2 linked regions of the Oryctolagus cuniculus genome follow. The protein of the gene in region 1 interacts with the protein of each later gene in a pairwise test. Links are inferred from orthologs where the notes say so. Each region holds a gene or a part of one and is shown in the gene's direction. Other genes may lie near its edges.

Region 1 (10,306 bases):
ATGGCTGGAGCTGGGCCGATCCAAGGCCAGGAGCCAGGAGCTTATTCCAGGTCTCCCACGTGGGAGGCAGGGGCCCAGGGACTTGGGCCATCTTCTACTGCTTTCCCAGGCCATAGCAGAGAGCTGGATCGGAAGTGGAATAGCTGGGTCTTGAACTGGCGCCCATATGGATGTCAACATCACAGGCGGTGGCGTTACCTGCTATGCTATAATACCTACCAGCCCCTCCTTTTTTTTTTTTTTTTTTTTAAGGCTTTATTTTATATATTTGAAGGACTGAGTTAGAAGAGAAAACCTTCATCTGTTGGTTCACTCCCCAAATGTCTGCAACAGCTGGGGCTTGGCCAGGTTGAAGCCAGGAGCCAGGAACTCCATCCAGGTCTCCCACATTGGGTGGCAGGGGCCCAAGCATCCGGGTCTTCTTCCACTGCTTTCTTAGGCACATTAGCAGGAAACTGGGTTGGAAGGAGGGTATTCGGGACTCGAACCAGCGCTCCCATATGGGGTGCTGCTCTTGCAGGGACGGAACATCCCGGGCGTCCTCTTCATCTTCCTCAGAAACAAGGTAGAATTAACGAGGGTTCCAGTTCCTGCGCTGGAGTGGTCCCCTAGGGAGTCTAACGACCTTGGGGGCTGTTTCGTGTTCCTCCCGTGTGGAATGGGGTAAAGGCATTCTACTGCGCTGCCCACTTCCCAGAGTCATCCCGGGCCCCCACACCCACAGGGGCTCAGCCGGAAGCCACCGTGAGCAGGACGGGACACCTGGAGAGCCGGCTGTTTACACACAGCCCAGCCTGCCTGCTTCCTATAATTGGCTAAACTGTGTTTTCAATTTGTTTTAAGACAAAGAGTTTGCTTGGTCACATGAAAATGCCTTAAATAGGCGATGCTGTAATTACCCGGCTGAGTCTCGAAGCTTGCTCTGCTTTCCTTTCCTCGGCCAACCCTCCCCTTTTGTCCCGGGATTGGTTTCTTCCTCTCTCGCCCTTCACAAAGAAAATCCCCCTGGCTGGCCGCCCGGGGCTTCTCTGCCCACTTCCATCTTAAGTCATTTTATTTCCTCTCTGAGAGTCTCAGCCTCTTCTGAAATCAAGACAGCGAAACTTGCTGGTTCATCTTTAAAGAAAACTTGGCCCCAGGCATTAGAAGAGCCGGAGGTTCCGTGGAGTCACGTGGCCTGGGTTTCCGCCTCTCTCCAGCTGACTCCTGTGGGATCTCAAATGCTTCCCACGGGGCAGGGCACGCGCTTCCAGAGGTGGCTGTGGTTTCTAATTCTTCTCTCACTGCACGTGAGCCATCCTGAACCCAAGGGCCCCCAAGTTCTCCTCTGGCTCCTGCTTTTTCGGGAGGCGGCTAATCCTGAGCTAATTCTACAGGAAGTGGTGCAGGGGGTGTCTTCCAGTTGCCCAGTTACACTAACGAGGCAGATTTTCTCTCCAAAACGTGAAGTTTCCCCCAGGACTAACTGTGCCCTTGAAGGCAATGAACTCACTAAAGTGAATCATCCCTCTCAAAGGTGTGTATCAACCCAACTTGTCCCAAGGCTGAAAGGATTCTAGAAACAGTCCATGCCAAGGCCACACAACTCAAACAAACGGAACGCTTCCTGTCACAGAACTCAGGTCCAGAGTCCAGGGGGCCCCGGGGGGCCAGGCTCCCTGTGCTAAACACAGGCCTCCTTTCAGGACTGGGGAGAGAAAGACTCGCTCTCTCCGCTGCGCTGTAGGCAGATTCACTGCCCCCCAGGATAGACTGGGGGCCATCGATATCACATGTGCCACGAATCAATATCACATGTGCCACGAATCAATATCACATGTGCCACAAATCAACGTCAGATGTGCCACGAATCGCCAGCTCATCGCGACAGCTCATCGCGGAGGCAGAAAGCGTGGTACAAACACGGCCACTCCCGCAGCAGATGGCCTCAGCGTGCTTGGCAGGGCTGTCAGGGGCCAGGTTCACAGGAGCAGCCAGGGCCCGGGCCCACACCTCGCTGGACGTCCCCCACCCACCCAAGTTAGCCATCCCATCCACCCAAGTGACTTACTCATCAGATACAAACCGGAAAACCTGGGGGCTCACAGCAGTACTTTGTGTAATGCTGACTTTAACCTTTTATTCCAAAGCTTGTCTAAACCTCCTAGACTTAACCCAGCGATTCTATACAGCCTTTGGTCTTGCTAGGCTGATAGGAGGCAGGTGACAACCCTCGGATGTTGACTCAAGACAGCCCGGGCTGGAGTTAACCCCTTCGTACCTGCCCCCCAGCAAAGTGGCTGAAGTCGCTGGCGTTCGTGCTCAGCTAGGAGATGGCCAACTGCTGTACGCACGGCGGACCCGGCGAGCTAACAGGCTACCACGGGAAGCGCCTGGCAGTCTGAGACATCCCCGGCGTGGCCAGGGTGTCCACAGACGTCCCCGGCGTGGCCAGGACAGCAGCCAGGGCGTCCACAGACGTCCCCGGCGTGGCCAGGACAGCAGCCAGGGCGTCCACAGACGTCCCCAGAGTGGCCAGGACAGCAGCCAGGGTGTCCACAGACGTCCCCAGCGTGGCCAGGACGCGAGCGATGCGCTCCCCTTTCAGGTGGCCCCCACTTTCTCGTATAGAATTTCCCCTGGGGTTCTTTCCCTCCGTGCACAGTGCAACCCTGCAGGGGATCGCGCGGCGCCTCCAGCAGCAGAGCTGTCAGCCTCAACACCCACGTGCACAGAGCTGCTGAAACCCGGTTCCCCTTTTTCCCAGCTCCCACATGCTTCGCTTCGGAGAGGAACCCGCTGGCGGCCCGCGGGCGGCGGGGGCGCGCCGGGGGAGGTCGGAGCGTGAGGAAGGCACCCTCCTGCGTTTGGGGGAAAGTCTTAGCAGGAAGCAGCTTTTCGGCCACCAGAAAGCCCGGAGGGCGCCCACTGTGTCCGCAGAGCCCAGCCCCCAGAGAGGCCCGGAGGGAAGCCCACTGCCACCAGAGCACGAAGGGGGGGTGTCCACCTGTCAGTCACCGGCCCCCAGCCTGCGAACACTCGGGGTTCCGCCCAGGGCACGGCGCCTTCCGCTCGGACCCGCCCACGCTCCAAGGGGCTGCCCGAGACGCCCGGACTCCAGACCTGCCCCCCGCGGCCAGGACCTGTCACCCAAGCCCCCGGGGCCCCCGCCCCGCCCGCGCGGACGGACCGTGCGCGCCGCCTACCCGGAGCTCGCCCTCGGTGCGGTGCAGTCCGAGACGCCGCAGCCCCACGGCCAGGTCGTTGACACACAGGCCGCCGTCGCGGTTCACGTCGAGCGTCTGGAAGAGGCTCCACAGGCGCAGCCGGTGGTCCGGACCTCCGCAGACGGCGCCGCCGCACGGGTCCCCCACGGAAGCCGGCGACGAGGCGGGCGACGAGGCGGCGGCGGCGGCGTCCGGCGGCGGGGAGGCCACGCAGCGGCACAACACGCTGCTCACCATCGGGCGCGAGGCTGGGGCGCCGGGCGCGGGCGGGGGCGGGGGCGGCGGGCCGGCGGGCGGCGCGGAAGGCACGCCGGTCTCCTCGGACGGCGAGCGCGGGCTCCCAGAAGCCGGCAAGCTGGCGGGAGGGGCCGCTTCCGGGAGCCCCGCCCCGCCGCGCCACGCCTCCCGGGCCACGCCCCCGGGCCGACCTCCGGCCAGTCACAGGCCGGGACGGCGACCGGGACTGGGCGGGCCGCGGGGCGGAGCCTGCCTGAGAACTACCCGGATCGATGGAAAAGGCGGGGCCGTCCCTGCTCAGCCCGGGGCCGATTCAAACTGAGCGAGGCGGGGATTGGCTGAGCCGGCCGGAGAAGCATGCATTCACGCAGCGATAGGCCGAAGTCGTGTGATTGGCAGGCGGAAGGCCTCGTGTCCAATTTCCCTTGAGAGACGCAGTTTAAGGCTGCGGAAGCGTAAGGCTGGTTGGAGCGGTCGTAGCCTTCCGTGGAAAATAGAACTATCAGGAGAGCAATCGTGAACTGCAGATGTGAGGCAGTTTGTGCTTGTGGGTGGAATTAAAAATTAATGAGCGAAGGCACCAAGTATCCTTAGGATACCGGGTTTTGATAATCTAACTCCCTAGACCACCAATAAAATAGCTGAATTTAACGGCGTAATGGTCGTAATACTGATAATTGAACGACAGAACGACTTTCCAATAGAAGTGAATAAAGGCTAGGTGGGCGGAGCGCTCTCGAGCGACAGACATACCCGTAGACCAATGAAAAGGCTAATTCCAGTAAGTAGGCGTACTCTTTAGCTGAGCGACCGACCGAACAAGCCAGTGACCGACGCGATACTTGAGCTTCGCCCAATCGGGGGGGGCGGGTTCTCCTGGAGAAGCACTGGGAGGCGGGAAGAAGGGAAATGGGCGGATCTCCGCACACCCCGGCGGAAGAGGCAGATTCAGGAAGCCATTACGCAGCTGGCTGGCCGCGGCCGGGCGGGTCGAGGCTGGGCCCTACGCATTTTGCGTAGCGAGGGGGGTTACTAAAGTCCTGGTACTTGGCCTTGAGCAAGCCGAGCCTATCCCCTGTGGGGGTGGGTGGGCGAAGGGTGAGGCCGAGGAAGGAGAAAGGGGAATTGAGGCAGGTGAGAGAATTACAATTTTTTTTTTTTTTTAAGAGAGGAAGGTAGTGGCCATGGCCGTGCCAGCCAAGAAGAGGAAGATGAACTTCTCTGAGCGGGAGGTGGAGATCATCGTGGAGGAGCTGGAGCTGAAGAAGCACCTGCTGGTGAACCACTTCAACGCTGGGGTCCCTCTGGCCGCCAAGAGCGCGGCCTGGCACGGCATCCTGAGGAGGGTCAACGCCGTGGCCACCTGCCGGAGGGAGCTGCCTGAGGTCAAGAAGAAGTGGTCAGACCTCAAGACCGAGGTCCGGCGCAAGGTCGCCCAGGTCCGGGCCGCCGTGGAAGGTGGCGAGGCCCCGGGGCCCACTGAGGAGGATGGCGCCGGTGGGCCAGGGACAGGTGGTGCCGGTGGCGGCGGTGGCCCGGCGGTAGCCCCCGTGCTCCTGACCCCCATGCAACAGCGCATCTGCAACCTGCTGGGCGAGGCCACCATCATCAGCCTGCCCAGTGCCACAGAGATCCACCCCGTGGCCCTCGGACCCACGGCCACTGCAGCCGCGGCCACGGTCACCCTGACACAGAGTGAGTGACCTCTCTGCTCAGTTCGGCGTGGATGGGAAGGGCCAGCAAGCGCTGGGGCTGCCTGGGGAAGATGGGCTGCCGAGGGTCAAAGGTCAGAGGGGGCCCCTTCCGGGGGCTCCCCAAGGCAGCAATGATCTTGACCTCTTTGGGACCTCCTCAGCACGTGGAGTGGACTCCCTGGGGGCCGAGTGGCGCTCTCCTGCGTTTGGCCACCATTCATGCTTGTGGCTGAGCTCCACCTGCTGAGCTGTGTGGTCCCTGAAGACAGAGGCCGTGACAGGACGTATGTGTGGGGTGACTAGAGGGCAATCATAGTGCCCCAGGGACACAAAGACAGAGGGGTTCTGTGTTTCCAGGGCGGAGCAGGGAGCCTCCAGACTCCTGGAGCCACCTGCTCATTCATTCACCCATTCCGCGAGCGCTGGCTCTTACGCCGTGTGTGCTGGGAGTGCAAAACACAGGCCGGTTCAGGGCTGGGAGGACGGATGAGGGCGTGAGTGAGCAGGTCCACCAGCACTTGGGAAGGCCTGAAGACTCAGAAGAGGAAGGGGCTTCCTGGCTGGCGGGGCGGGGTGCACAGGTCCCTGTGCACTCAGGCTCCGGCAGCCCAGCTGGGATTCCTGGAAGTTCTGTGCTGTGGCTGACAGCAGATCTACCTCGGGCTGGGGCTTGGAGTTGAGATGAGGGGCTGTGCCCGTGGCTGTGACCTCTGCTGATGTGTGCCGGGCTAGGAACTGCATCAGCCAGTGAGTCCCAGCGGGGCTGGAGGAGCTGGCCGTGTGTGTGAGTGCCATCCCCCTGCAGTGTCACGTACAGAGACCGCGGTCTCGGTCAGGTCCTATTCTGGAACAGGATGGCGATTCCGGTACCCCTCTGACCAGGGTGACCAGAAAGACAGGGAGGTGTTGGCTGGGCACGCTAGCCGATGCTGTTCCATTCTCGCTTGTTTCTGTCTGGTTACGGGGGACATGGACGCCAGGAAGGCAGCCAAGGAGGTAGGACTGGTGCGGCTGCAAACAGCTTGTGCAGGCGCCTGAAGCCCGGCCTCTGATGCCCCCTGCTAGCCAGAAGCGGCCTCACGGCAGGTAAAGAATTCACAGATCCTGGCCCCTAGCGGGTGCCCTGCAACTTTGGGGAGCACCATTACTGGTGTCTTTGCGTCTGCCAAGTCCCCTTGGCGACCAAGGTTAAGATGGCAAACATCGGGCTCTCTATAAGCCAGGGCCTCCTCCCCACCCCTCACGGCTACCTGCATCCCTTCCAGAAAGTGACCTGCCCCTGCCTTGGCTCTTTCTCCCCCTGCAGTCCCCACAGAGACCACCTACCACACGCTGGAGGAGGGCGTGGTGGAGTACTGCACGGCTGAGGCGCCCCCAGCCCTGCCGGCCGAGGCGCCCGTGGAGATGATGGCCCAGCACGCGGACACGCCCGTCAAGCCGCAGGCACTCAAGAGTCGCATCGCCCTCAACTCGGCCAAGCTCATCCAGGAGCAGCGGGTCACCAACCTGCACGTGAAGGAGATCGCCCAGCACCTGGAGCAGCAGAACGACCTGCTGCAGATGATCCGCCGCTCCCAGGAGGTGCAGGCCTGTGCCCAGGAGCGCCAGGCCCAGGCCATGGAGGGCACCCAGGCGGCCCTGAGCGTGCTCATCCAGGTCCTCCGGCCCATGATCAAAGATTTCCGCCGCTACCTGCAGAGTAACACGCCCAGCCCGGCCTCCGCCTCTGAGCCCGGACAGGTGGCCCAGAACGGGCAGCCGGACAGCATCATGCAGTGAGGGCAGGGCTGTGATTGGAGGAAACCTCCGGGGTCTCGTAAGCGGCTTCTGTGATTGGTGGGCCATGTGGACAGCCCTCTCTCTGATGGACACGGAGGGTCTGCGGGTTTTGAGACATGAAGGAGACCAGGAAGAGGAACCTGTTGGGCTCCTGGGACCCCAACTCTCTCGCTCTCACCCCGCTCGATCCGGAAGATGGGATAGCTAAGGGGTCGCGCCCTGTGTGCTGGGGGTGGGACACGCCCCATACCGGGTCTCAGAGAACTGTAGAAGGCAGCCGGCCCTCCCTGCGCCATCTCCCAGCCGGGCCCCACGCTGGGCCGTCCGCTGCAGATGCCAGCCCTTTGAGGGAGCTCTGGCCAGCGGTGCTGCCGGACAGGCGGTAATGGCGTCTTCCCTGGGGAGGGGGCCCGGCTGAGCCTGAGGAGGGCACTGCCCCCAGCTGCTTCTCACTGTGCCTCTGTTCTCAGGGGATTCCTGCTCCTGCGCCCGGGCACGGCCTCCGCAACCCACCCAGCTGCAGGCAGCCCAGCTCGGGCCTGCCGTGCGCCGTGGGGGTGGCCGGGCGGCGCTCTGGTCTTCCGCAGCGTCTCTGGGCAGCCCGCTGGTGGCCTGCCCCTGCAGCTGCCGACTCAGGTCAAGCTTTGGGTGCTGTCCATTGTAGAACAAACCGGGGTGGGCGCTGTTGCCCTGCAGCAGGGGCCTGGGGCAACCTGGTAGTTCCTTCCGGAAGAAGTAGCTTCGAGCTCCTTGTATTTATTCTGAACCCCTCCGGGAAGGCAGCTCTGTGGCCAGCCCCTTTCTCCTGTCCTCTCCTCTGACCACGTTTCCAAAATCGAGCGCCGAACAGCCCAGCTCGGAGTCTCCTCCCTCACTGTGCCATTCAGGACCTCGAGTGCTGGCGAGACGCCCTGTGGCCGAGTGGACCCAACGCCATGAGGGTCCCTGCATGTGGGGGGTGGGAGGGGCGCAGCTGAGCTGGGGGCACGCTGCGGGAGCACTGCGCCCTGTTTGGAAGGACAGCACCCAGAGGGCATCTGCCTGTCTCATCGTCAGGCTCCCCTCGATTACCGGGGCCCCTGCACCTCCCCAGACCCTTCCTCCAGGGGCGGCCTTGTCACAGGCATCTTGGCCACGCGTGACCCACGGTCCAAAGAGAAGGCTGCGGGTCTCAGCTGCGCCTGCGCTGAAAATGCCCTTCTGGGCACAGTGTTGGAACTGTTCCGCTGCACTGCTACACACACTGGGAGGTGGCCCCCACGACAGCCGGGGGGGCACGCGGGCAGCACCAGCTCCGGCGGGGTGGAGGCGGCTCCGGCCCCACGAGGGTGGGCGGCGGAAGGCAAGCAGCAGCCCCCAGAGCTTGGGCATGCTCACTCCGTGCAGCCTGGGGGCCCCAGCAGGAACTTGCTAAGGCTCTGTGGCTTGGTTTGGTTTTTCTCTGGGGTTAGAAATCTGAGCCAGGATTGTGTCTGCTCCACGTGGGTAGAACGAGGAAGCCTGGGTCGCTCACATGGACTCGTTCCTTCCAGGTCACGATTTTAAATTAAAGGGATATCACTTTTCATACACACATCTCCGTGTCTTTTTTTTTTTTTTTTTTTTTTTTAAGATTTATTTATTTGAAAGGCAGTTACAGGGAGAGAAGGAGAAAGAGATCTACCTGCTGGTTTGCTCCCCAAATGACCTCAACAACCAGGACTGGGCCAAGCTGAAGCCAGGAGCCAGCAACCAGGAACTCCACCTGCGTGGCAGGAGCCCAGACACCTGGGCCATCTTCTGCCTCCCCAAGCGCATGAGCAGGAAGCTGGGTCAGAAGTGGAGCAGCTGGGTCTTGAACCAGGGCCCATGTTGGGTGTCCATGTAGCAAGCTGTGGCTTCACCTGCTGCACCACATTGCCGGCCCCCATTTCTTTATCTTTTTATTGTTTATAAACAGAAGAGAGCAGGAGCGGGTAGACTATGGCACACAGGCCAAATGTGGTCCAGCATTTATTCATTTATGTTGACAGGCAGAGTGAACAGTGAGAGAGACAGAGAGAAAGGTCTTCCTTTACCGTTGGTTCACCCTCCAATGGCCGCTGCAGCCGGCGCATCGCGCTGATCCGAAGCCAGGAGCCAGGTGCTTCTCCTGGTCTCCCATGGGGTGCAGGGCCCAAGTACTTGGGCCATCCTCCACTGCACTCCCGGGCCACAGCAGAGAGCTGGCTTGGAAGAGGGCAACCGGGACAGAATCCGGCGCCCCAACCGGGACTAGAACCCCGGGTGCCAGCACCGCGATGGAGGATTAGCCTAGTGAGCCACGGCGCCGGCCCCGGCATTTATTTTTGTGAATAAAGTTTTATTAGAACACAGTCTGGGGGAGAATTACCCAACCCAGGCCTCACTGGAAAGCTGAGACAGACTCCTACATAGACTCAAACGCAGCTGGGAGCCACACCCTGCCCCAGGGAGGACAGGTTCCCATCCGGGGACACACGCGCCTTGGCTCCCAAGGGCTCGGCCTCCCTGGACCCGGGGCCACGCTCCCCAACATCTAGCAGTGGTGACAGGGAGGGGACCGCCCTCCACCCAGCCTGAGCAGGATCTCACTGACTCCTCGCGACAGCCCCAGGACGTCGGTGCACACGGTGTCCTCAGTGTGCGGATGAGGGCACTGAGCATCAGAGAGGTCAGACAAGCTGCCCGAAGCCACACAGCCCCCGCTCCTCCCTCCTGGCCTAGCTCCTCCCTCCTGGCCTAGCTCCTCCCACCTCGTGGCAGGATGTGACAGCACCTAGAGTTGATTTGAGCCTGATCTTGACAAGCTGCTAGGTCACGCGGGGCTCCCAGGCAGCCCCCCTGGGAGCCCCCGGGGCTGTTTTCCTCGGTGCTTGACCAGGAACGTGGTGAGCTCTCCTACTCACCCGGGACTTCAGATGTACCGCTTCCGGGGGAAGTGAGGATCAACCCCCCCGCGCCCCGGTACCTGGATGGTGCTGGTGGGGTGCTGTCACTTAGGTTGTGCCTGAGCGAGTGCACAGAGGAGCACCACACACTGGTAAAATGTGGCGGTCAGAGCGGGCTCATACCCTAAAGAACTCGGCCCAGAAACTCAAAGCAACAGGGTTTATAAATGCAAAAACCGCAGGGAGGGGAGGGGGAGTACATGGTCGCCAGGGTCGGGCTGACCTAAAGCATATGCTAAACTCTCAGTTACAGTCCCGACAACACCTGTTACAGTCTGCACATAGTCAGGGTGCCGCCCACATCCTACGTGGGCACAGACAAATTACAATCTTTTTTATTTTTATTTTTATTTTTTTGACAGGCAGAGTTAGACAGTGAGACAGAGAGAGGTGCTTCTCCTGGTCTCCCATGCGGGTGCAGGGCCTAAGCACTTGGAGCATC
Region 2 (9,914 bases), on another chromosome or scaffold:
TGACATTAAAGTCAAAATATCATAAATTCTGGTGTATGATTTAACCAAGCACATTATGCCCTGAGGTCACCCCTAATGCTGGCTCCCGCGTTATTGGCGCTCAGAGGAGGACCAGAGGAGCTCGCCGGCAGCTTAGCCTCTGAGTGCCCCTGGCGCTCACTCTCCCAGCTGTGCGCAGGCTCCCCAGAATCGGCACCTGCGACTTCACTCAGTTCCTCGCCCGAAACCCCGAGGGGCCACAAGAACCAGGAAGGAATGGTACCGCTGAGTGCTGAGCACAGGGCCTGTGGCACGCAGGCAACTCCCCCGCTCTCTTCCGAAAGCCTCCGGGTCTCAGCGCCACCTGCCCTCTTCCCTTCCACCTTCAATGGCCTAATCCAAGCCAAGGTCTGCGCAGCTTCCTCGGAGCACTCAGCCTTTTCCCAGTCCCACCGGCCTGGGAACCATGAGCTCTGCCCACCAGACAGGACGGGATGGAGTGCGGAGCGGAGCCTGGAGGCCAGGCAGGTGGGTACAGGCCTCGAGGCCCCAGACTTCCGCTTGGGTCTCTACTGGGCTGCTGCGGGGCATCAGGGGAGGGAGGTGTGTGCACAACGTTTACCTGGGCCTGGGCAGAAAGAAACATCAGTGAGCGTCAGGAGTTGCGTGCCCATTGGACACCCAAAGATGCGCGCCACGCAGCCCTGCCCTCGCAGAGTTCGAAGGCTGGTGCACTGTCCCGGCTGCGACAGTCCTAAGCGACGCTGAGTAAGTGTGAGCGGGGCAAAGTGGAAGCAGTCCCGGCCCAGCGGGTGATTAGCCTTAACTGACACTTGAGGTCTGCAAAGGAGTTGGGACAAAAGAGGAAAGAGGCGCCCTGTGAAGGCTCCAAGCCTCCAAAGAGCAAGGGGCACATCCTGGACCCTGGGCGCGGCGGAGGGAAGCCGGAGGAGAGGAGAGACTCCCCAGGACAACCTCCTGCCCCTGGACTGGAGCAGGGAGGGTTCGCTGACAGAATTCGCGTTGTTCGGGGCTTCAGACACCCAGCTAAAGCCCGCAGGCCGCGTGCCTGGAGTCGCGGAGTCAAAAAATGAATCCCGCGTTCAGGACATGCAGAAGAAGAGATCTCATCCCAGAGATGCCACCGGCCTGGGGAATGGGATGGCAGCCTGAGGCCTGAACGGCAGGCTGCGGCCAGAGCTAGAGGAGCCTTTAGGGAACGCTCCGTCCTAAGGCCTTTGGGCTATGGCAAAAGCTGCTGGATCTCCTCCCCAGGGGTCACCTCTCCTGAACTCGCTGGCGGAAACGCACAAGTCGGAGTGATGACCCAGCTGGAGACAGCGCCAGCCGGGACCCCGGAATCATCGGGTCTCCTGCGCCCAGCCGCCTGAGGAGTCTGGAATGGACCCATGGACTCCCAGGACTCCACAGGATGGGCGCGGCTGGGCAGGTCGTCCAGGAGGTAGCAGATGCGCGGCCTGAAAGGTGTCGCCCTCCGCTCGGGCTTCCCTAGGCTAGAGGCTGGCGCCCGCCCGAGTCATTGCAACCCGACCAGGAAGCATGGGGCCCCGGGCGCCCTAGAGGTGGAGGGCCTTCTGCCCACAAACTGCCTGCCACCCTTGGCTCGCTCTTTGGGATAATCCGCACCGGCTCGCAGATAGCTCTTGGGTTGTGAGTAGCTCTTGGATTGCTCCCTAGGGCTGAGCTCAAGAGGCTGGAGAGGAGCGCGGTGCTTAGAAGAGGAAATAGGAGGCATTGAAGGAGGGCGTGCGACTGTCTTCCTCGCGACCACTGGAACGGGTCGGCCTGAAGGCTGAGCTAAGAGAAACATCCAGGACAGCGTGCTTAAGCAGTTTCCAAGAGGTTGATTTGCATTAACCCAAACCTCGGGCAGTGGGTGCCGCGTCCCGCGGAGGGTTCCAAAGTGGGAAATTGGTTGGTCCCTGCTGGAAGCTGCGTCTCTCTGCAGACTTGAATATCCTTTGGTTCCTTCCCAAAGCTGTCTGGGTTGCCCAATAGAGTTAGAATCGCGTGGCCCCTGCACCTCCTAACCCTGACTGGCTCTGGGCGTTTGGCACCGCTAGGGGTTGCCTGCGATGTTTGGAAAGCCGCCCTCACCTGGAATGGAAAGTGCTTCTGCTTCTTGAAGTCCCACACTGAGTGCAGAGAAAACAAGGACGGAAGGCCAGAAGCAGGCTTCCGGAGGGTGGTCCCAGCTACCGTTGAGAAGGAATGCAAAGGTTGGTGCACCTGCTCCTCAACCCGCGCGGAGGTGACGCTGGTGGTTGGGAGTGCTTGCTTAAGCAAGCCGGTTCTCCAACTGGAGCCTAAGCGAACAAAAGCGAAATCTGTCCTTTGGCGCAGTTTATCTACAGGGCAGGTTTCGATGGCTCCAATAGTCTCGTCAAAGGTTCCACCACGTTTGGCAGCTGCACAGACAAATCCTCTCACGTGACGCCGCCGGGATGGGGGAAGTGTAGGGGTTTTCAAATCCTCCTATACACCGGGTCTCATCACCTCCCACCAGCGTCACTTTGGGCAAATCACAGAACCTTTCCTCGATCTCAGTTTCCCAATCTGTAAAATGGGGGATAGTGCCCATCTCTCTAAAGATCCATGCTGAGGGTAAAAGAGTCTAATTTTAGGAGGGAGACTCGAAGTCCTCAAACTCCATACAGCACATGCTAGCGACAGACCCTCCCCTGCTGCCTCCCGCCTACCTCCCCCACTCCTGGCTGACTGAGCCGGTGCGGGGTTTCCGGCCCGTCCTCCCGAGAGAGGCTGGTGCAAAAGCCAATAAGCCTGGAACACACGCAGGTCCCTCCGGGCCCGGGACAATAGTTTCCATTTAATAAATATTTCCCCCAAGGGCATTTCACATCGGGCAGGCAATTATTCAAAGGAAACAGGCGCGCAGGTTGGCTCTGCGGGTTATTTCGTCCTCTTTACCCGAAGAATGCTCATCTGACTCTAGAAACGAGTCTCGCTGCCTCGCTGGGTGGGAAGAGGCGCCCAGGGACAAACCGAGCCCGGCTGCAGCTACAGCCGGAGACTGCTCTAGGGCCGCCGTTGAAGCGGGGCTGGGAAGCCCCACCACCGCCGCCGCCGCCGCCGCCAGCTGCCGCCAGCCGTCTCTACCTGTTTGGACAATCGAGGAGGGAAAGTTGAAGGTTTACGAGCATTAAATAATAGCAATATAAATGGGAACCCTGATGGAAATCCAACCCTCCTCCACTTCTTTCTGGGAAGTGGGGAGCAGGTCGGGGGCGCGCTGAAGGGCGCATCGGCCGGGATTCGAAGCCTCTGCAGCTGCGCCCGCGAGGTTTCTGGGCGTCGGCTCGCTGCACAGGGCTCCCCTTCGGGCCCGGGGCGCAGAGCTACACCCTGGCGCGGCGTCCTGGGGCAGCCGCAGAGACCCAGCCTCAGGGGAGTCCTGAGAGAACACTGCCAATGGACCCCCGGTGGTCTAGCGCGAAAAGTTTATTTCTCTTTTTACCCTGAGTTTGATGTATTCTTTTCGCTCTTCCAAGGATCTTTGGCAAGGGAGGGGAGTGCTGTCCTTGCATTTCGTGGCGAGATTGTCCTATTTATCAACACAAGCTCTGCCTCGCTCCCTTTTTTGTCCCCTACCCGGATCTCGAAATTCGAAGCACTGATTCTCCCTGGCACAACTGGGAAAGAGTGCGGGAGACGCGAAGAGTTTTGCTGACAGTCCAGAGACAATAAGGAACCCAGGCCCCCAGCCCTGAGCCAGACGCTCGGTTCTCTGGCTCTCCGGGTCTCTCTCCCCCTCACACCTCTCCCCGCCCCCGCTGGTCGCACTCGGTCTCTCCTCCACCCGCGTGTTGGCAGGTGCGCCCCCCCACCCCCGCCTTCTCTGCTGCTGATTGGCGCCCAGGTTGGGGAGTCGCCGCCCCGCGCTTATGTCAGAGTGCGTGCCGTCCGGGCCCACCTCGCCTTTGAACTTCGCCGCTTTGGGCTCTCCTTCACCAGCCTCCCCGCATTCTCAGCCAGGTGCAGCGCTGGGCGAGGCAGCTCCGGGAAAGCCACGGGCGGGGGGAGCTACGGCCAGAGGCGCAAGAGGAGAGAAGGGAAGGAGAGAAGGCGAAGGTGGAAAAGGGGGAGAAGGAGGAGCTTCCTGCCCTCGCCAGAAAATTACCTGGCCACTCCACACCCGAGACTCCAGCACTTGGGCCCAGCCTCTGGCGCCCGCAGTCGCCAGCCGGTCGCCCTTGCCTCCCCCACCCCCGCCCATCTGCCCCCCACTCGCCCCCCGGGGGCTGCCTGGGTGCTGGGACTGGCATGATCAGCTGAACTTTGTGGGGGGTCAGCTCTTCTCTCCGGCTTCCCCTCAGCAGCGCCGAGGTGAGGGGAGCGCAGAGCCCCGGGTCAGGACGGACAGACAGACGGCCAACTGCGCCCAAGCTCGCCCTCGGAGGCCCTGCACTCCCCACCCCCGCCCGCCTAAGCCGCCGGGACCATGTCCAAACCTTCAGACCACATCAAGCGGCCCATGAACGCCTTCATGGTATGGTCCCGGGGCCAGCGGCGCAAGATGGCCCAGGAAAACCCCAAGATGCACAACTCGGAGATCAGCAAGCGCCTAGGCGCCGAATGGAAGCTTTTGTCCGAGGCAGAAAAGCGGCCATACATCGACGAGGCCAAGCGGCTACGCGCCCAGCACATGAAGGAGCACCCCGACTACAAGTACCGGCCGCGGCGAAAGCCCAAGAACCTGCTCAAGAAAGACAGGTATGTCTTCCCCCTGCCCTACCTGGGCGACACGGACCCGCTCAAGGCGGCTGGTCTGCCCGTAGGGGCCTCCGACGGCCTCCTGAGCGCGCCCGAGAAAGCCCGGGCCTTCTTGCCGCCGGCCTCGGCGCCCTACTCCCTGCTGGACCCCGCGCAGTTTAGCTCGAGCGCCATCCAGAAGATGGGTGAAGTGCCCCACACCTTGGCCACCGGCGCGCTGCCCTACGCGTCCACCCTGGGCTACCAGAACGGCGCCTTCGGCAGCCTCAGCTGCCCCAGCCAGCACACGCACACGCACCCGTCCCCCACCAACCCGGGCTACGTGGTGCCCTGTAACTGTACCGCCTGGTCTGCCTCCACCCTGCAGCCCCCCGTCGCCTACATCCTCTTTCCAGGCATGACCAAGACTGGCATAGACCCTTATTCGTCAGCCCACGCCACAGCCATGTAACCCCCGGCCTGGCCCGGACCGGAGGGGTGGCCTGGAAGCGGGGTTTGCACCCTGTCCTCTGCACCTAGCCCTGCCTGGCCTGCAGAAGCCTCTGGGTCAGCCCTGCCGCCGCCCCTTACCCGGTCCCAGACTCGGCCTCTCTCTTCCAGGGAGAAGGGAGGGGCGTCCTACCGACCAGAGGCGTGGACAGGTGCAGAAACTTGCAGACGTTTTGACAGCTGCGCTGCCCCTATCCTGACTCTCCCCCAAATCTCCGACTGTACCCCCTTTGGACAAAGAAGTAGGCAATTTTGCTTTATTTATCTCCCCTTCACTCTCCTCGGATAGGCTTTGGACTCCGAACTCCCAGATCCTGGTATTATATCTAGAATATGCATATATATATATTTTTTTCCTCTTCTGCCCCTGAAGAAAAAAAGAGTTGGCTGTTTCTCTGTGTCTTGCCATCAGACACAACCAAGCGCCATTTATTCTTCATGTTTGGGAAAAAAGGCTTAAAAGTTTTAAACTACAGCAAGGGAACCATTTCTATTTAAAACCATGCTATGATATAGTGTTTGCTTCTTTAAAGGGAAAACAAGAAGGACCCACATGGTTATTTACTTTGTGTCAAGCAGTGTTCCTAGAGACCTAAGTTTACTGTTAGACAGAAAATCGGGTTCCGAAGTCAGGAAGTGGAAAGTGAACAACAACAAAAGGATTAAAACATCCTAAATAATGGTAAATGTTTTGACGATGTCTTGGAAATGTACCTGGAAGGATTTTACCTCGTTACTCTGTTCATTTGTTGAACAAAGACGTTTTGAATAAAGACAATCTGTCGTTGCAAAAAGTAACCTTTGATGTGCCTAAAAATCTGGAGTCAGGAGGCCAGGGCAGCGGGGCCGGGGAGTCGGGTCGCGGGGAGGCGCCTTGGGCAGTGATCGCTGGCGGCTGAGCTGCGCGTTGCGCTGGCCGAAGCTGGCGGCCTGCGAGCCGGCTGCGAAGTGACCTAGAGTCTGAGATCCCTCAGGATCACGCCCGGGGGATCCGTTCTAGGCCTTTATCCATCCCTGGGACGTCGCTCCTGGCCCCATTCTTCACGAAAGGGTTAGGCCACTCCGAGAAGCCAATGAACCAAGACAAAGGCCGAGTCTGGGTGCGTTAACTTTTCTAAACCAAACTCGAAAGGAATGGGGAGAAGCGCCGATTCTCCCGGGAACCAGTTGCGCGCGGAGCACCACGGCCTGCGGTGGACCTTTAAGTTCAAGGCTCGGGGGAAGCCGGGTGGAATCGATTTGCTTTTCTTTAGGTGTCTGGAAAAACTGCCGCTGGCTCCTATGGGGAATCTGGCTATTAGTCCCTAAGTTAGAAAATAAAAGCCTAAGAAATGCCAGAAGACGCGACCTAGCTCTGCGTCCCGGATGGTCAGAGACTTTTTACTAAGACCATTTGGGAGCAAAGGGAAGAGACAGGCGATATTGGCATGGCTCAGGCAAGGAGTTTTTCTAAAAAAAAAAAAAATCATAAAAACCAAATAACTCGCGTTTAACAAACAAGGAAAGGAGCCCTTCGCTTTCCCTTCTGGGTGAATATTTGTTTACTTGAAGATTACTGCTTTTCCCGAGGAGAGGGGACCCTGATGCCAGCCAGCACAACTCTCTGGAACTTCTTCTCAAAATCAAAGGCGCTCCCCACCCTCTGTCTCCTGCGAGTCTCGCCCCCACCGCCTCGCTCACGCGTGTTCTCCCGCAGGTCGCGCGCTCTTCTCGCTGGCCGCGGTAGGGTGCGGGTTGGGGGTGGGGCAGCCCAGGCGCTTGCAGGCTTGCCGCGGCTGCTGCTGCTAGGGGGTGGGGACTGGGGACTCCAAAGGAGGCTGTGGTTCGAGGTGCAGGGGAACCGTTGTCAGCAGACACCCAAGCCGGAGCCCGCGGATTAGCATATTGTCCTCAAAACAATTACAAGTGTTTGAGGTGCTGTTTGGATCCTATTCATCCTAGCCCCTTTGTCAAAGGGGGATTTTCATTATTAAAAAAAAAAAAAGTTAGCAGTTGTCCATCTGGCTGAGCTGAATGGCAAAGTGATTCGTGTTGTATATGCTTTTCTCATTAAGAGCTCTTTTGAGACCGATGTTAGAATTAAATGGTATAACACAATTAACATACACGGGAGCTGAATAGGAGGGGACGCCTATAAATAATAGATAGATAAATAAATGAGCGATCAGGCGAAGGTAAACAAAGGCGAGCTTGGGGGAGGCGCGGGGGAGGCCGGGAGGGCTGCGCTACGCTTACTTAGCATCACAAAACCCTCTTACAAATAGAGACAATTAGGAAGTGACTTGCCTCTGGTGGCCGTCCGGTCCCGGGCCCCGGGCGCACAGGGAAGGCCCCTCCTCCCGCCCCCTAGGAAGCCCAGGAGGCCCGGGGCGGAGGCGCTGCGGTTTCGCTGTCTGATGTATCCCCAAACTGACAGTCCTGTCAGGCGCTCTGAGCTCCCTCATAGCTCAGTGTCCCTTAACATCTCTTAAGATGAAGCTTCCAGGGGTCTGAGTGTCTCCCTGCAGAGCCCAGCGCGGCGGCGCCCAGCCCCCGGGAGGAGTCCAGCGCGCTCGGCCCCACAAGGGTGCCCCGCCAACTCCGAAGTAGGGTTAGGCTGGAAACTGGGCACCCGGCCGGGCCGAGAGCGGAAGAACTCTGGCGGCGGCCGAAGCTGGAACACGGAAACGAGCGTTCCCGATTGCGCCGGCCCTGGGGACTCGGAGGGGAGCTCTGGGAAGCTAGGGTGCGCTGTGGCCGAGAGGTGCCCGCACTTCTATCCAACCCGCACGGAACGGGGGTCCAGCGTGGGCCCGGCGACCCGAAGCCTCAGGCCTGGCTCAGGCCGTCTCTGCCCAGCACGCCTCGCTCCCGCCGGTCCCCGCCTCGGCCCCCGCAGGCCGCAGAGACTCTGCTGAGGTGCGCGGCCGCGACTCGCCCTCGGCACCAGCCGCAATCCTCCCCGTCACGCCTCTGACAGGGGCCGATTACAGACTTTGAAGTCAGGCGCAGACAAAAAAGAAATCCCCTGAGGGTGTATGTGTGTGTGTTGGGGGGGCCGCCCCTGTCAAACCTGTTTGCTCACAACTGTCTCTTTCTTTCAAGAAAATCATTAAAGCAAACCTGTAGGGAGAGGAGCGCCCCGCCCGCGCGGAAGTCCAGAAGAGCCGCGACGCGCGGCCCGGAGCAGCCTGGAGTCGCACGGCAGGGACTCCGGGCGTCGGGAGGACGCGACTCGGCGGCCCTGGGGGCTCCCGGGACCCCGCTCCGGGGGACTGCGCCGCCGCCTCGGCGCTAGGCACGCGGCCCCGCAGCCAGGGAGCTACACGCCTGGGCCTCCCCGGAGCAGGGGTACCCAGGAGGCCCCAAGCCTCCTGCCTGTGGAGCCCTTGTTTCTGGGGGACAAAAAAAAAGTTGACCCCAACAACATCCGCGCTCGCCCCGCCGCCGCTGTGCTGGGCGTTTCTCAGCACCGCGGAGAGCTCCATGGCGCGCTCTCGGGCTGGCGGCCTGGCGCGGCGCGGGAGGAGGGCTTGGGTTTTTAGCAAGGGTTTCTTGGCGCGGGGGTACACTGGCCACGTCTTCTGAGACACGCGGGTACCTTGGCCTACGTCCTCTCCGCGGGGGGATCAGAAACCGTGATTCCCTTCAGTTCCCAAGTTTTCCTGTTTAAGTGCCAATTTCCTCAGAAGCGCTGTGACGGCCAGCTACTGTGTGTAAATCGCGCCGAGGTGTGAGTGACTGACCTCCGAGGCTGTGGCAATGCCTGCGTGTTAAATCGTGTTAATCGCGCTGGTGTTTCAGTCAGGGCAGGGTTCCCAGAACACCGCACGCACCTAGGTTAAGCGGCTCCCGCCAGGGCAGCTTCTCTGGCAAAACCTGAGACTTCTCGGGGCGCGGTGCGGGGTGGGAGTGGGGGTCCTGAACACTTGGCGGGCAGCAGCGCCTGGACTGCCCTCAAGAACTCTCCCGCCACCCTCCCCCCACCTCGCTCCTGCCCTGCCCTGCCCAGGCTGGTCACCATTGTTCAAGTGGGCAATGAATCGCAAGTCCTTTGAATCTGAACGTGGCGGGATTCGCAAGATCCACGTTCGGAATGCTCACTTCTTTCTTTGCTGAGTGGGCTGGGTGCGTTTGTGAGTGTGGGAGAGGAAGAGGACCCCGTTAGCTGGGTGCTTGCCGCTTCCGCCGAGGGCCCGCTCGCCCTGACCTCTGGCCCTTGCCCTGGCCTCGCAGACTCTCGCCCACCATGCGGCAGGAGCGCTCCTTGAGCTGGTTCCATTCCTGGCGCTTTGTAGATTGGCCTTGGCCGCGAATCAGAAGCGCTGGCACTTGGCCGCAGCAGCGTAATTAAGAAAAGGAAGTTGGACGCGGGTGGTGGAGTGGTGGGGGGAGCTAGACACCTGGGGCGTGGACGCGGAACCCGAGGCTCAGAGTGGGCCCCTGCTCCCGCACAGGGAAGGAGTCTGAAAGCAGGAAAGAGCGGACCCAGCTCCCTCCTCCAAGGTCCAGCCCCTGGCCCTGCGTCTGGCACTGCGGTCATTCACGGACTGGTGCCCAGGCACAGGCGCCAGAATGAGAGTTGTGCTCTCCGGAAGCGGCAAGGTCCGCGGTTCCTGGTGTCCCCAGGCTGCCTGCCTGGATTCTCCTTTCTCTTCGCTAGAGTCTGCGCTAAGCATCCTCTCTGATTTCCTCCCCCCACCCCCCACCCCAGC

Evidence for each region. The genes of interacting proteins can lie anywhere in the genome.
Region 2: the proteins of NAIF1 (region 1) and SOX14 interact in binary tests that used the Homo sapiens proteins (3 or more experiments, as listed by UniProt). The two-hybrid records come from large-scale screens. The link is inferred for Oryctolagus cuniculus from reciprocal best matches to the Homo sapiens genes NAIF1 and SOX14.

The regions. Positions count from the first base shown.
Region 1 is NC_091432.1:231,415,695-231,426,000, reverse strand, and holds NAIF1 (nuclear apoptosis-inducing factor 1), read left to right. Parts: upstream 1-4,206; 5' UTR 4,207-4,224; intron 4,225-4,365; exon of another isoform or gene 4,366-4,486; intron 4,487-4,610; 5' UTR 4,611-4,627; coding exon 4,628-5,138; intron 5,139-6,443; coding exon 6,444-6,916; 3' UTR 6,917-8,490; downstream 8,491-10,306. UniProt on the Homo sapiens protein: Induces apoptosis.
Region 2 is NC_091435.1:143,914,592-143,924,505, reverse strand, and holds SOX14 (transcription factor SOX-14), read left to right. Parts: upstream 1-4,239; 5' UTR 4,240-4,459; coding exon 4,460-5,182; 3' UTR 5,183-6,024; downstream 6,025-9,914. UniProt on the Homo sapiens protein: Acts as a negative regulator of transcription.